3 linked regions of the Drosophila melanogaster genome follow. The protein of the gene in region 1 interacts with the protein of each later gene in a pairwise test. Each region holds a gene or a part of one and is shown in the gene's direction. Other genes may lie near its edges. The genes, in order: Dlc90F, msb1l and Hsp67Bc.

Evidence for each region.
Region 2: the proteins of Dlc90F (region 1) and msb1l interact in a two-hybrid assay, tested with the Drosophila melanogaster proteins (2 studies listed by BioGRID).
Region 3: the proteins of Dlc90F (region 1) and Hsp67Bc interact in a two-hybrid assay, tested with the Drosophila melanogaster proteins (2 studies listed by BioGRID).

Annotation. Positions count from the first base shown.
Region 1 is NT_033777.3:18,297,365-18,300,689, forward strand, and holds Dlc90F (dynein light chain 90F), read left to right. Parts: upstream 1-1,864; 5' UTR 1,865-2,057; coding exon 2,058-2,393; 3' UTR 2,394-2,680; downstream 2,681-3,325. Other genes in the region: Polr1E (RNA polymerase I subunit E), read right to left, coding at 3,009-3,325. UniProt on the Drosophila melanogaster protein: Acts as one of several non-catalytic accessory components of the cytoplasmic dynein complex that are thought to be involved in linking dynein to cargos and to adapter proteins that regulate dynein function.
Region 2 is NT_033779.5:19,576,036-19,579,788, forward strand, and holds msb1l (msb1l), read left to right. Parts: upstream 1-1,665; 5' UTR 1,666-1,762; coding exon 1,763-1,939; intron 1,940-2,004; coding exon 2,005-2,973; 3' UTR 2,974-3,096; downstream 3,097-3,753. Other genes in the region: Pmvk (phosphomevalonate kinase), read right to left, coding at 3,423-3,753.
Region 3 is NT_037436.4:9,370,917-9,374,396, reverse strand, and holds Hsp67Bc (heat shock gene 67Bc), read left to right. Parts: upstream 1-1,899; 5' UTR 1,900-2,079; coding exon 2,080-2,679; 3' UTR 2,680-2,886; downstream 2,887-3,480. Other genes in the region: Hsp22 (heat shock protein 22), read right to left, coding at 1-146; CG4456 (uncharacterized protein), read right to left, coding at 953-1,007, 1,076-1,235, 1,302-1,422; Fdx1 (ferredoxin 1), read left to right, coding at 3,379-3,480.

The DNA of each region.
Region 1 (3,325 bases):
CTCTGCGAAGGGTTTTTATCACTGGGCACTGGCGTAGAGAAAAAGGGTGCTGGAATAGCATATGTTATATGGTTATGGCTACCATGTGAGGATCGCCCGAAAGTCAGTCAGCTGGAAAGTGAGGTAAGCGCGCAAATGCACCACCTGCTGCGTCCGAAAGTGACAAAACGAAAACGAAACTCCTTCGGTTTTCTATTTTATTAATGGGTAAAGAAGAAGCTTCGTGCAGAGTTACACAGAGAGAAAAACTGCAAATGTATGACTCGTAAAAAAAGTGTATTTAGTGACCAATGGTGACCATTTGAAGCGGTATTTATGTAGGCAGCTGTTCTCTAATAATTCCAGTTATTCGTTAAATGCAATGACAGTGTTTTTCGTGTGCTGGCGATTATGCAGTCAAAACAGAAAATGGGTTTCCCATCCCATCCATAAATGTCACTGTACTCCCCGCTTATCGCTTGAGGCTTGAGTAAACAGTCGGAACAAACGTAGCATATCGGTTTATGCAATACTTTTTGAATTGTACAATAACTATTGTGCAGTCGCCAAGTTTCCCCTTTTGCCTTATACTTGCAGTCAGCCGGGCAAACATTTAATTAATTAACAAATGCGACCTTGACTGGAATTTCAATTAAGTAAGTAGCTTGAGCAAAACTTTGATGAGAATGGTGGAGTGATGTTACATATGTATGTATGTTTGCAAAAGCAAGCAGTTGTCAGGGTGATGTTGTGGTTAAATATCAATTGCGGGTAACTAACCTTTTGGTGATTTCCGATTCGTTCCGATCCGATTCGTTTCGATTCAAAAAAAAAAAACCGATCCGCAAAGTTGGTTTAGTGGTTTTTTTTTGTCTTTGCCTTTTTGGTTCGCAGAGGGTGGACCAAAACAGTTAAAAGTTAAAGAGAGTGACTAATGCCGCACGCACACAGTCGCACTCAATTTGTTGTCATACACACACAGAGAGACAAGCGCACACTCGCGGGCATCAACTTTGCACTCTTCTCACCCCCTCTCGCTCGTTCACTCGCATTCAAGGTGGTTAACGAGAGGTGAGCCAACAAAAACAACAACAGCAGCAGCCGCGGAGCGCACTCACACACACGCGCTAAATAGCTGAACAGCAGCTGCAAAAGTAGTAGCACGTATCCGCAGAGACAAAAACGAAGAAAGCAGGAGATGGAGAAGGAAGTGCGCCTGCAGCTGCGACAATTATCACCCGATTATTTCGCAGCGTGTATTGCGAAATGTGCGCCTTCGATTTGCTAAATACTTTTGCTTAATTATACGCACGCACACACACACCAAGGCACTTTCCCATAACGAATTTAATTCAATTCAACGACGTGCTGCACGAATCGCTTTCAGCTGTGCATTTAATAGCGATATTTGTCGGCCTTGATATGCGTCGATGTTTTTCAATGGTGTCGCAGAAGAGTTATGGAATAATTTAATTATTTTTCGTTTTTATTGCGCCGCGAACGCGTCCGTTATGTTGATTCTGCCAGAGTGACCGTGGCTTGCAGTCGAAATAATCCAGCGATTAAAAGTTTAATTTTCCCGCGGTTTTCAGCACTGTTTTCTATCGATTAATTTAAATGCTTAGATGTGTTTCCACTGGCATCATGGTTATAATAGGTTTTAACTTGTTTGGTTCCTTTTGAAAGTACTTAATCTAATTATACTCTCCTTGACTAATTGCTTTGGAAAATGTTGATAGCGAAACCTTTGTTTTTAATAAAAGACAACTGTTTCTTCTCTTGAAATCTCTAGTGTGAAGATGCTGAAATGACCCACGATGTAACCGTTTCTCCGGTTAAATTGCAACACAGTCTGACCAGATCAAGGTGCCCAAGAAAATACTTCCAAATTAAAAGCAAACTTTGCTTTCCGCATCCCTTAGAAAAATAGAATCCCGATATATATTATTTGGACTGCTCGAACGCCGCCGACGAGCCCAAAAACGCGCGCACATTTACAACGACAACAATACAAACTTGAGCTCAGTACGTAAACTTTTTTGACCAGCTGCCGTTAGAAGCAAATCAAAGCTGCGACGATGGATGACTCACGCGAAGAAAGCCAGTTCATTGTGGACGACGTGAGCAAGACGATTAAAGAGGCCATCGAGACGACCATCGGCGGTAACGCCTACCAGCACGACAAGGTGAACAACTGGACCGGCCAGGTGGTGGAGAACTGCCTGACGGTGCTCACCAAGGAGCAGAAGCCCTACAAGTACATTGTGACCGCCATGATCATGCAAAAGAACGGTGCTGGACTCCACACCGCCAGCTCCTGCTACTGGAACAACGACACCGACGGATCGTGCACAGTACGCTGGGAGAACAAGACCATGTACTGCATCGTTTCGGTCTTCGGACTGGCCGTCTAGAGTGGAGGAATGGCAGGACTGCCGGAATTCGCGATGAAGATGACTTAAAAGGGGGAGGGACTAACAAGATTGCCGTCGTACACCAGCACACACCAACAACACAAATACCATACTTTTTTGATCGGCCATCCATCCTGCTGTAATAACAAAATTTATTATGGAGCACTTGAAAACCTTGTCGTCACTTCCAAGCAATTAGCAAGCAACTATTCCGTTGCCAGTGTACTCGCCTAATGTTATTCTTGATTTTCAATCTAAAAACGTAAATAAAAAGTGTATAATACCGTAGCATAATAAGTTAATCATTGCAAACTGTTTTCAATGGGTCATCATTTTTTGGGTCGTGGGAATATTTTTCGTTTCCATGGCAGCAATTGGCCATTGGTCTAAAATCGATTTAAATTCCCAGGCATTTGTTAAAATTAAACTTTAATGGTCTTTCTCTTATTTCTTTATTTATTTTAGTTTATCAAAACCTTCTATCGTTTAGAATAATAATATTCCTTCTGGCATTGCCCAAAATAACAAAATCAGAAGTACCTGGATGCAATAAATGTAATTGGCGCGCCAGGGTTTGTTAAATCGATGGCGGGCGCGGTGTCCTTGAAGATACTCCTACTTCTTGCGCTGGAAGCGACGGCCCGACTTTAGAGCCGGAACCTTGCTGGGCAGGCGCAGGCTAAGGATGTCCGAATTGGATTTTGGCAGAGCGTTCACAATGTGGGCGTACTGCTTGATCCGAGCCTTGGTGGTGGCCAAAGCACGGGAGAGGACATTGATGTCCACTTCGAACTTCTCACTGAGGAGCAGGGCCATCACAATAAAGTGTGTCAGTGCCTTTTCACTGCTGAAATTGGTGCGAGTTCCCTTCTTTGCCACATTGGGATCCGCAAAACGATGGCGTATATCATTCTCGATCTTCTCCGTGATAC
Region 2 (3,753 bases), on another chromosome or scaffold:
ATTATAAACAGGAAATGGAATTTACCCACACGGATGCAGCGCGGTGAAGTGTGTGTCTGTGTAAATTGCTGATGAGCCGACAAACGGACGTGGTGCTCAATTGACAGATGAGCACGAGAGAGACAGGCAGAGCATAGCACACCGCCGAATGAGCGAAGGAGAAGGCCAGAGCGCGCTTCAAAGTTGATTGAAATCAATATACGTACATACGTATGTATACACACATAGCGTGCCGGTGTGAGTGTGCTAAGACCGCTCGTGGAATGTTTGAAAAACGCGGTCAAGCGACGGGAAGAGCAAGAATGTTGAACTCTGGAAGTGGGAAGAAGTTTCTGTAAATAGAAGCCAGGTGGAAGGGGCTTTTGCACCTGCCACGCCCAGCAGCCCCTGGAATCAATTAACATGTTGCACAACTGCAGCGGCTCCTATATACATAGTTCATATAATGTACTTGTGATACAGTGACTTACGCACACAGAGGTGCAATTGCAGATGGCGACGAGTGTAGCGTGTAGTTTTTCTCGGAAATGAGCAATGAATGAAATTCGGTTGTTTTCAGTACTCACACGCACACGAACGCAGATGCATACACTCGCAATTTGGAGCAAGAGAGAAAGTCTGCACGACATGCGCTCTGGCGTTTGTGTGTATACAATTTGCTTACTTTTTGCGCTACAATTGGCAAATAAAACAATAGCGCAATTTTACGCAGCACTTTAGCTTACTAACCCACATTGATGGCTCCACAAAGCGAGCAAAATAATTTGTCTGCCTAATTGAAATAAAATAAATAAAACTAAGCAGAAAAAATGTCGGCAAAAAACAAGGCGCAGCTGTATTGTGCGCTAGTGTGTGTAAAAAGGAGACGGCCATAGAAAAAAAAAACACATATACACACAGGAGAATTTACTGCTGCTTGCGGCGCCCACACACACATACACAAAAACACTCGCCTATTTAGTACAGCAACTGCGTAAATTCAATAAAAATAGTCATCTGGAGTAAAAAAACCCAGTTTCCTGTCTTCATTTCCCTTTTTCCGTGAAGGTACACAGTCACTACTGTTATAATTTAGCACACACACTCGCGCATTTATGTATGCATTTGGGTTGCTTTCATTTGGATGTTTATCACTTACTTTACCACTTACTTTGGGATTTAGCTCTTCGTTTGTCGCACTTTTTTGGCCTGTTTTCATGCCATTTTCTTTTTGAAAAACTGAAAGAGTACAATTCGTTGTGTCGCGTCTTAAATGAACAAGTGTTGCCAGACTTTAGCTGGAGGGAGATGACACTATCGCGAGGCAGCATAAAAATCAGTGCTGTAAAGCGAAATTAAAAAAAATATCTGATAACTTTAATATTAGTTTATTTGTTTACTGAATTTTACATTTTCTTATGTACTATAAATAAAAATCAATTCATAAATTTATTTGAGAGGAGTAAAACAAGAAGAATCCACCTAAACATTACAGACTTAAGTTCTAAATATCCCAAACGTTGTTTAATTTCTATTTATATTTGTAACGATTAGTTAGTTATTAGTAATAATGAAAGAACTAGTGATAAAATCCATTTGTAATCACTGCTAGAATTGGCTTGAAAATAGCTAGACTGACGTTAACAATACTGTTACCAGTTGGCATTTCCTGATCCGGCAACTCCACACGACGCCATTTCAAAACAAATGCGCGGCAACGATTTTATTTTACCCCGCAACATTTAGTGAGAAGTCGCAAAATAAGTCAGATTATTTGATTAAAATGGGAGCAAAGGCAACAAAAATGGAAGGTGAATATCTGCCGGATACGCCGACACTAAACAAAATGCGCCTGGCCAGCGAAAAGCGAGAACAAATGGAAATGACGACGCCGAATCGAGAGCAAAACAACGCTTTGCTCGATCCTCGATCACCAAATGGCTGCCGCACGCCTTTAACCGTGAGTTTATAGGCATTAGGTATTTTTTGATATTACTAACCCTAGTAATGATGGCTGCGTTGTAGTTCTTGCAGGCGTCAAAACCTCGCGTTGAGGAGGAGGAGCAGCATGTGACCACCAGTGAAAATGCCTTCTCCATGCTGCGAAAACGTTTGCTCAAGGGCTTCTCCCTGAACGATCCTCGCTCTCCTCAGCTGAATCGCACTCCACTGGTCCTCGATGAGGTTCGTTCGCTTAATATGGATGACACATTCGCCGATCTCTTCGTGGACACCAGGGTGGGTACAGCACAGAGAGCAGTGCCTGCATCACCGCCCCAAGTGGATTTAGAGGAGAGCTGCGATAGCTTCGGCACACCGCCGTCTGCTGCACACAACAATATTTCCCTGGAGATTGTTTCACTGCCCTATGATCAGGAAGAAACCTTGCCTTGCGAGCAACAGCTGCTGCCGTATCAGGAGCCGAATCTGGAGCAGGGCCAGGTGAAAATGGCCACGCCCCCGCCAGAACAGCAGCCCCATGGTGATCCCCGATCGCCCAGCCTGGGCGTCGATCGCACACCCATCATCTTCTGCGACGACGAGGAGGAGGAGGCACGCGAGGCCCAGATGCTGGAGCACATCCTGGAAACACTGACCCTGAATCTCAGCACTGGCAGCAGCATGGCCTCCTTTGTCGCTGGCGAGGAGCAGCTACCAGAAGTGCCGTCGAACAAACATTTGGAGCGAGTGCGTTTGGGTCACAAGCGTCGTGTGCCACCGCGCAAGCCCGCCAGAGCCAACAAGCCAAAGATCTATGTTGACCAAGAGGAGGGGTCCCCGGTGACCGGAGGATCCATTACGCCCAAGACAAACAGTACCCCCCTGTCCGCACAAAAGCGAACTCCACTCAGTTGCGTTAAGAATAAGCCGCATCTGCGATCCCGTTCAATGGAAAAGGATTCTAAGAAGAATCAGATTCCGCCCGCGCAGAGCTTCAACGATCAACTGCGGATAATCTCTGGCACAGAGGGATTCAGCGGACCCGTTTACTAACACAGCTTAGTAGCTACTATTGCCTTATGTCCATCAAAACCCACCAAATCATAGTCTTTTCTCACGACACATACTTTTATTACTCATCTTTTAATAAATCATTTTATTAGTTTGCTTGCCAGTACATTGTGCACATAAATTGATGGATGCAGTTTGCTCATGAGTATTATTCTAACATTTGGAAACCGGGCTATTTATTCCTGAAGTAACCTATTACCGATAATCAGCGACATATAGTTTGTATATCCATTGAATCTATTAAGTCTTAAACGTTGCAAGTTAGTAAAACCGCCACACAAGCTCTATTTCGTTACCAAGAGTATTTACTATTAGGTACGTAACTTCATTCTTGTCTAGTGTATTGCATTAACTACGCTATTTGTGACCGGAATACGTGATATATCAAAAATACATTTGTTCAAAGCATGGTGAGCCGAGAGGTCCAAGCTCTATCGATACTGCAGCTGCAGCCTATCCAGCAGAATGTCGATGGCCTCCTGGTCGAGTTCCTCGTCGTTGGCCAACACCACGTCGAAGCCGTCGGCCAGATCATCCAGATCGCACTCGGAGGGAACATCGTCTATTCCTGCGGTAAAGGTCCATCCCCGTGCAGACCGCGTTTCTGGACGGGATGTTAGACGCAAGGTGATGACTCGTTCCGGCCCGTAAGTCTCCCGGAACCACCTGATGTCGTTCTTGCGCCGCACATCGCTGACCAGAATGTAGGGCGTCTGCTGGCGACTCAGCGCCTCCTCCATGGCCACGCGGCAGAAGTAGCCG
Region 3 (3,480 bases), on another chromosome or scaffold:
TGCCAGCGGGCAATCTGCTGCCAGTTCCTCGGTAGCGCCACACTCCAAACGGGCGGCTCGTGGAAGAAGGCGTGAAAGGGCGAGGAGAGGCGTGGCATCCGTGCCATCTCCTCGGCCATGCGCCAAAACATCGGTAAGGAACGCATTGTAGTTAATAAGGTAACTTGGTTTTTCCAACAAAAGCTTCTTATGCAAATTCGAATAATTTGATGAAATTCCGTCCAATTGTTGTCTTTGAAATACTTCTTGGCTTTTTTTTAAATTTTTCCTCTATGTTTCGAAGATAATCTTGTTGTCTGAAGTTTCAATCCTATGAAATTTCTATTTAGCTGGCGAAATTTTAATTTAGTTGACTTTCTTCGAGTTGTTAGCAGTTGGTTTGGTTTTTTTGAACTGAGAGCGCAGTGTCCAACCGGTGGCTATTTATACTCTTGGCAGAGAGGAAATCCATATAATCTAGAAAATACCGGCACTCTCTCGAATTTTCTTCGCCCTTTGCTGATGCAATTTTCCACTTTGCCTGAAATCGGGCAATGGCATTTAGTTAGGGGTTGTTCACTGTTCTTTAGCGAACTCCGTGGAAGTTTCTGGGGCTCTCTGGGTGTCCAAATATTACTTTATTTACCTTTTATTTTAGCATTTAGCGAAGTTCTCTCTCGCTGTTGCGCCTTGGGGAAGGTCAGTTTCCATACGCAGAGAGACAGATTGAGAGAGCTCCATTAGAGAGTGGGAGAGAGAAAGTTTTGTGGGAGTGCACAGCTTTCTGAGTGCGAGTGTATACGTGTGTGTATTGATAAGCTTGCCATGGGTGTAGTCAAGAACTTGAGATATATGAAAAATACAGCTTAATATTAACAAATAATTAAAGTTTTCTGTTTTTTTTAGCTATTAATAATTAATTAATTAATTAATATTAATCTTCATTTATTCAGAAATATAGCGACGTTTATCGTCAAAGTCCCTCCTTTTGAGCCCATTCATTCCAGGAGCCTTTGTAGATCACCACACTAAAATGAGCATACATATATGTATCCGATATAAACTATTGCAACTATAATACAATTTTAAAACTCACTTGCTGTATCCCTGACTTTTGGCAATTTTCTCTGCTTCCAAGACTCGATTTCCCGACCGGCAGGTGAATATGATTGGCGACTGCTTCTCCGGCTTCGATCTTCCGTACTTGTTTTTAAAAGCAGATCCATCCAGATTTAGAGCCTTGTCCAGTTCATCCACTAAGTAAATAAATAGTAATAAAACACATAGTAATAAAGCAAATACTAGGGAAAGTAGTTTATTACAGGGTATATTGATGCTGGCTGGAATGAAGCCCGTCTGCTGGAGCTCTTCCTTCCGTCGAACGTCGATAAGATACACATCCGGATGGTTGGGCACATCCTTAACCTGTTCGTACGTGGCCATTGTAGTTATGGGGCGGAGCACGAATTTCAACCGGTTCGCCAGCTGAATAACAACTGACTTGCCAGCTGGGCGCAGATGATCCATTTATGAGGTTCAAGATTAAAGATTCGGGTATGTACATATGTATGTGCGTACTTGCTTATCGCATTTTGATTATCGTGGTGTCGTCTTGTTTGTCCAGCTGACACTGGAGATTGCGCCTCTCATCTGTATCCGATTTCACTTTGAATTTGAAATTAAAATCTTATGGTATGATCTCCAATACAGAGCTTGCTATCTGCACTCATTTTATACATACATACATACCTTATGGCGGATCACATATAACAGTTTACAGTCTACGAAAGCTTGGCCCCCAGAAGGTTCCCAGTTGTCTCCCTAGAATCAACGAAACAACGAGTTGCTGCTCCAGAAAAGCTCTGTGGCAATGGGCAAAGCTCTTCCGTCTCTATAAAAGGGCGCAGACAAACCGTTAAACTCCACATTCGAGTCGGAAAAGTCAAGGTGAATTGTGCGCCAAACTGCAGCTGAGATTGTGGATTCCACCACCCGCTGGCAAATCAACCCCTTGGATACTTTTTGAAAGGAAAACAGGTCGTCGGTTCAACGAACCTCCTTCCGCCAGATACACAAAGAAGTTAAGCAAAGAAAAGTAAAATGCCAGATATTCCCTTTGTCTTGAATTTGGACTCCCCGGACTCCATGTACTACGGCCACGATATGTTCCCGAATCGCATGTACAGGCGATTGCATTCGCGGCAGCATCATGATCTTGATTTGCACACCCTGGGTCTGATTGCCCGGATGGGTGCACATGCCCATCACCTGGTGGCCAATAAAAGGAACGGAGAGCTGGCTGCATTGAGCCGCGGTGGAGCCTCAAATAAGCAGGGCAATTTCGAGGTCCATCTGGATGTGGGACTCTTTCAGCCAGGTGAACTGACCGTCAAACTGGTCAACGAGTGCATTGTGGTCGAGGGAAAACACGAGGAGCGCGAGGACGATCATGGACATGTATCCCGGCATTTTGTTCGCCGCTATCCGCTGCCCAAGGAGTTCGATTCGGATGCCATTGTTTCCACTTTGTCGGAGGATGGAGTTCTCAATATCACGGTTCCACCATTAGTTTCCAAGGAGGAGCTCAAGGAGCGCATCATACCCATTAAGCATGTGGGTCCATCGGATCTCTTCCAGAATGGAAACGGTCATAAGGAGGCCGGTCCGGCAGCTTCTGCTTCAGAGCCAGAAGCCAAGTGAAGAGCCCCCTCCTAAAGATTGCAGCCTAAGCAGCCAAGTGATTTCCCAAGACTCTCGTTTATCGTTGCACCAAAAAAAAAGTCAAGAAAATATCGCACAAATCGTATTATATTTATTAATTTATTATTAGCTACATTTTAAACAGTCCAATCAAATTTTAAGACTAATCGAAATCCAGTATTAATAAAGGAATATGAATGTCTCAGTAATCAAAAGACTTTTACTAATATTTAAGAGCTTAATTCATATCAAAAAGCACGAAATCCAATTTTGGGTACAATATTAACTTTCCTTTGTTCGATTAGACAGGTATTAAAAGCTGTGCATATTAAAAATAGGTCCCCGGATGTCAATCCTACTTAAAAAAGCTTTGGTTAGCCTTTTCCCAGGTGCGATTGAGTGAACTTTTGAACTTTGAAATGAAAGCCCGCCATAAGTGTAATTATCGATAGCTTTTAGTCATCTTTCCAAAACTATCTATCGAAGTAACAGTTTTTAACAAGTGGTAAGTCAACGATAAATTTAATAAAAGAAACTAACATTTAATTACACAAAGTATATATATTATTTTTAAAGTTATTTAGCAGATGGAGTACATTATAAACTAATTTATTTTGTTTGGGATTATAATCTGAATAATAAAAACCCGTGACATATTGCATGTTGCCCATCTCCAGCTGGCACTGTAACCTCAAAAAAATGTTTTGTTTACTTTTGCGCCGCTCTGCAGTTCATAATTCCTGCAAATTAATCAGTAAACAGATTGCCAAGCCCGCGTTCTACACACCCCACAATGCTCTG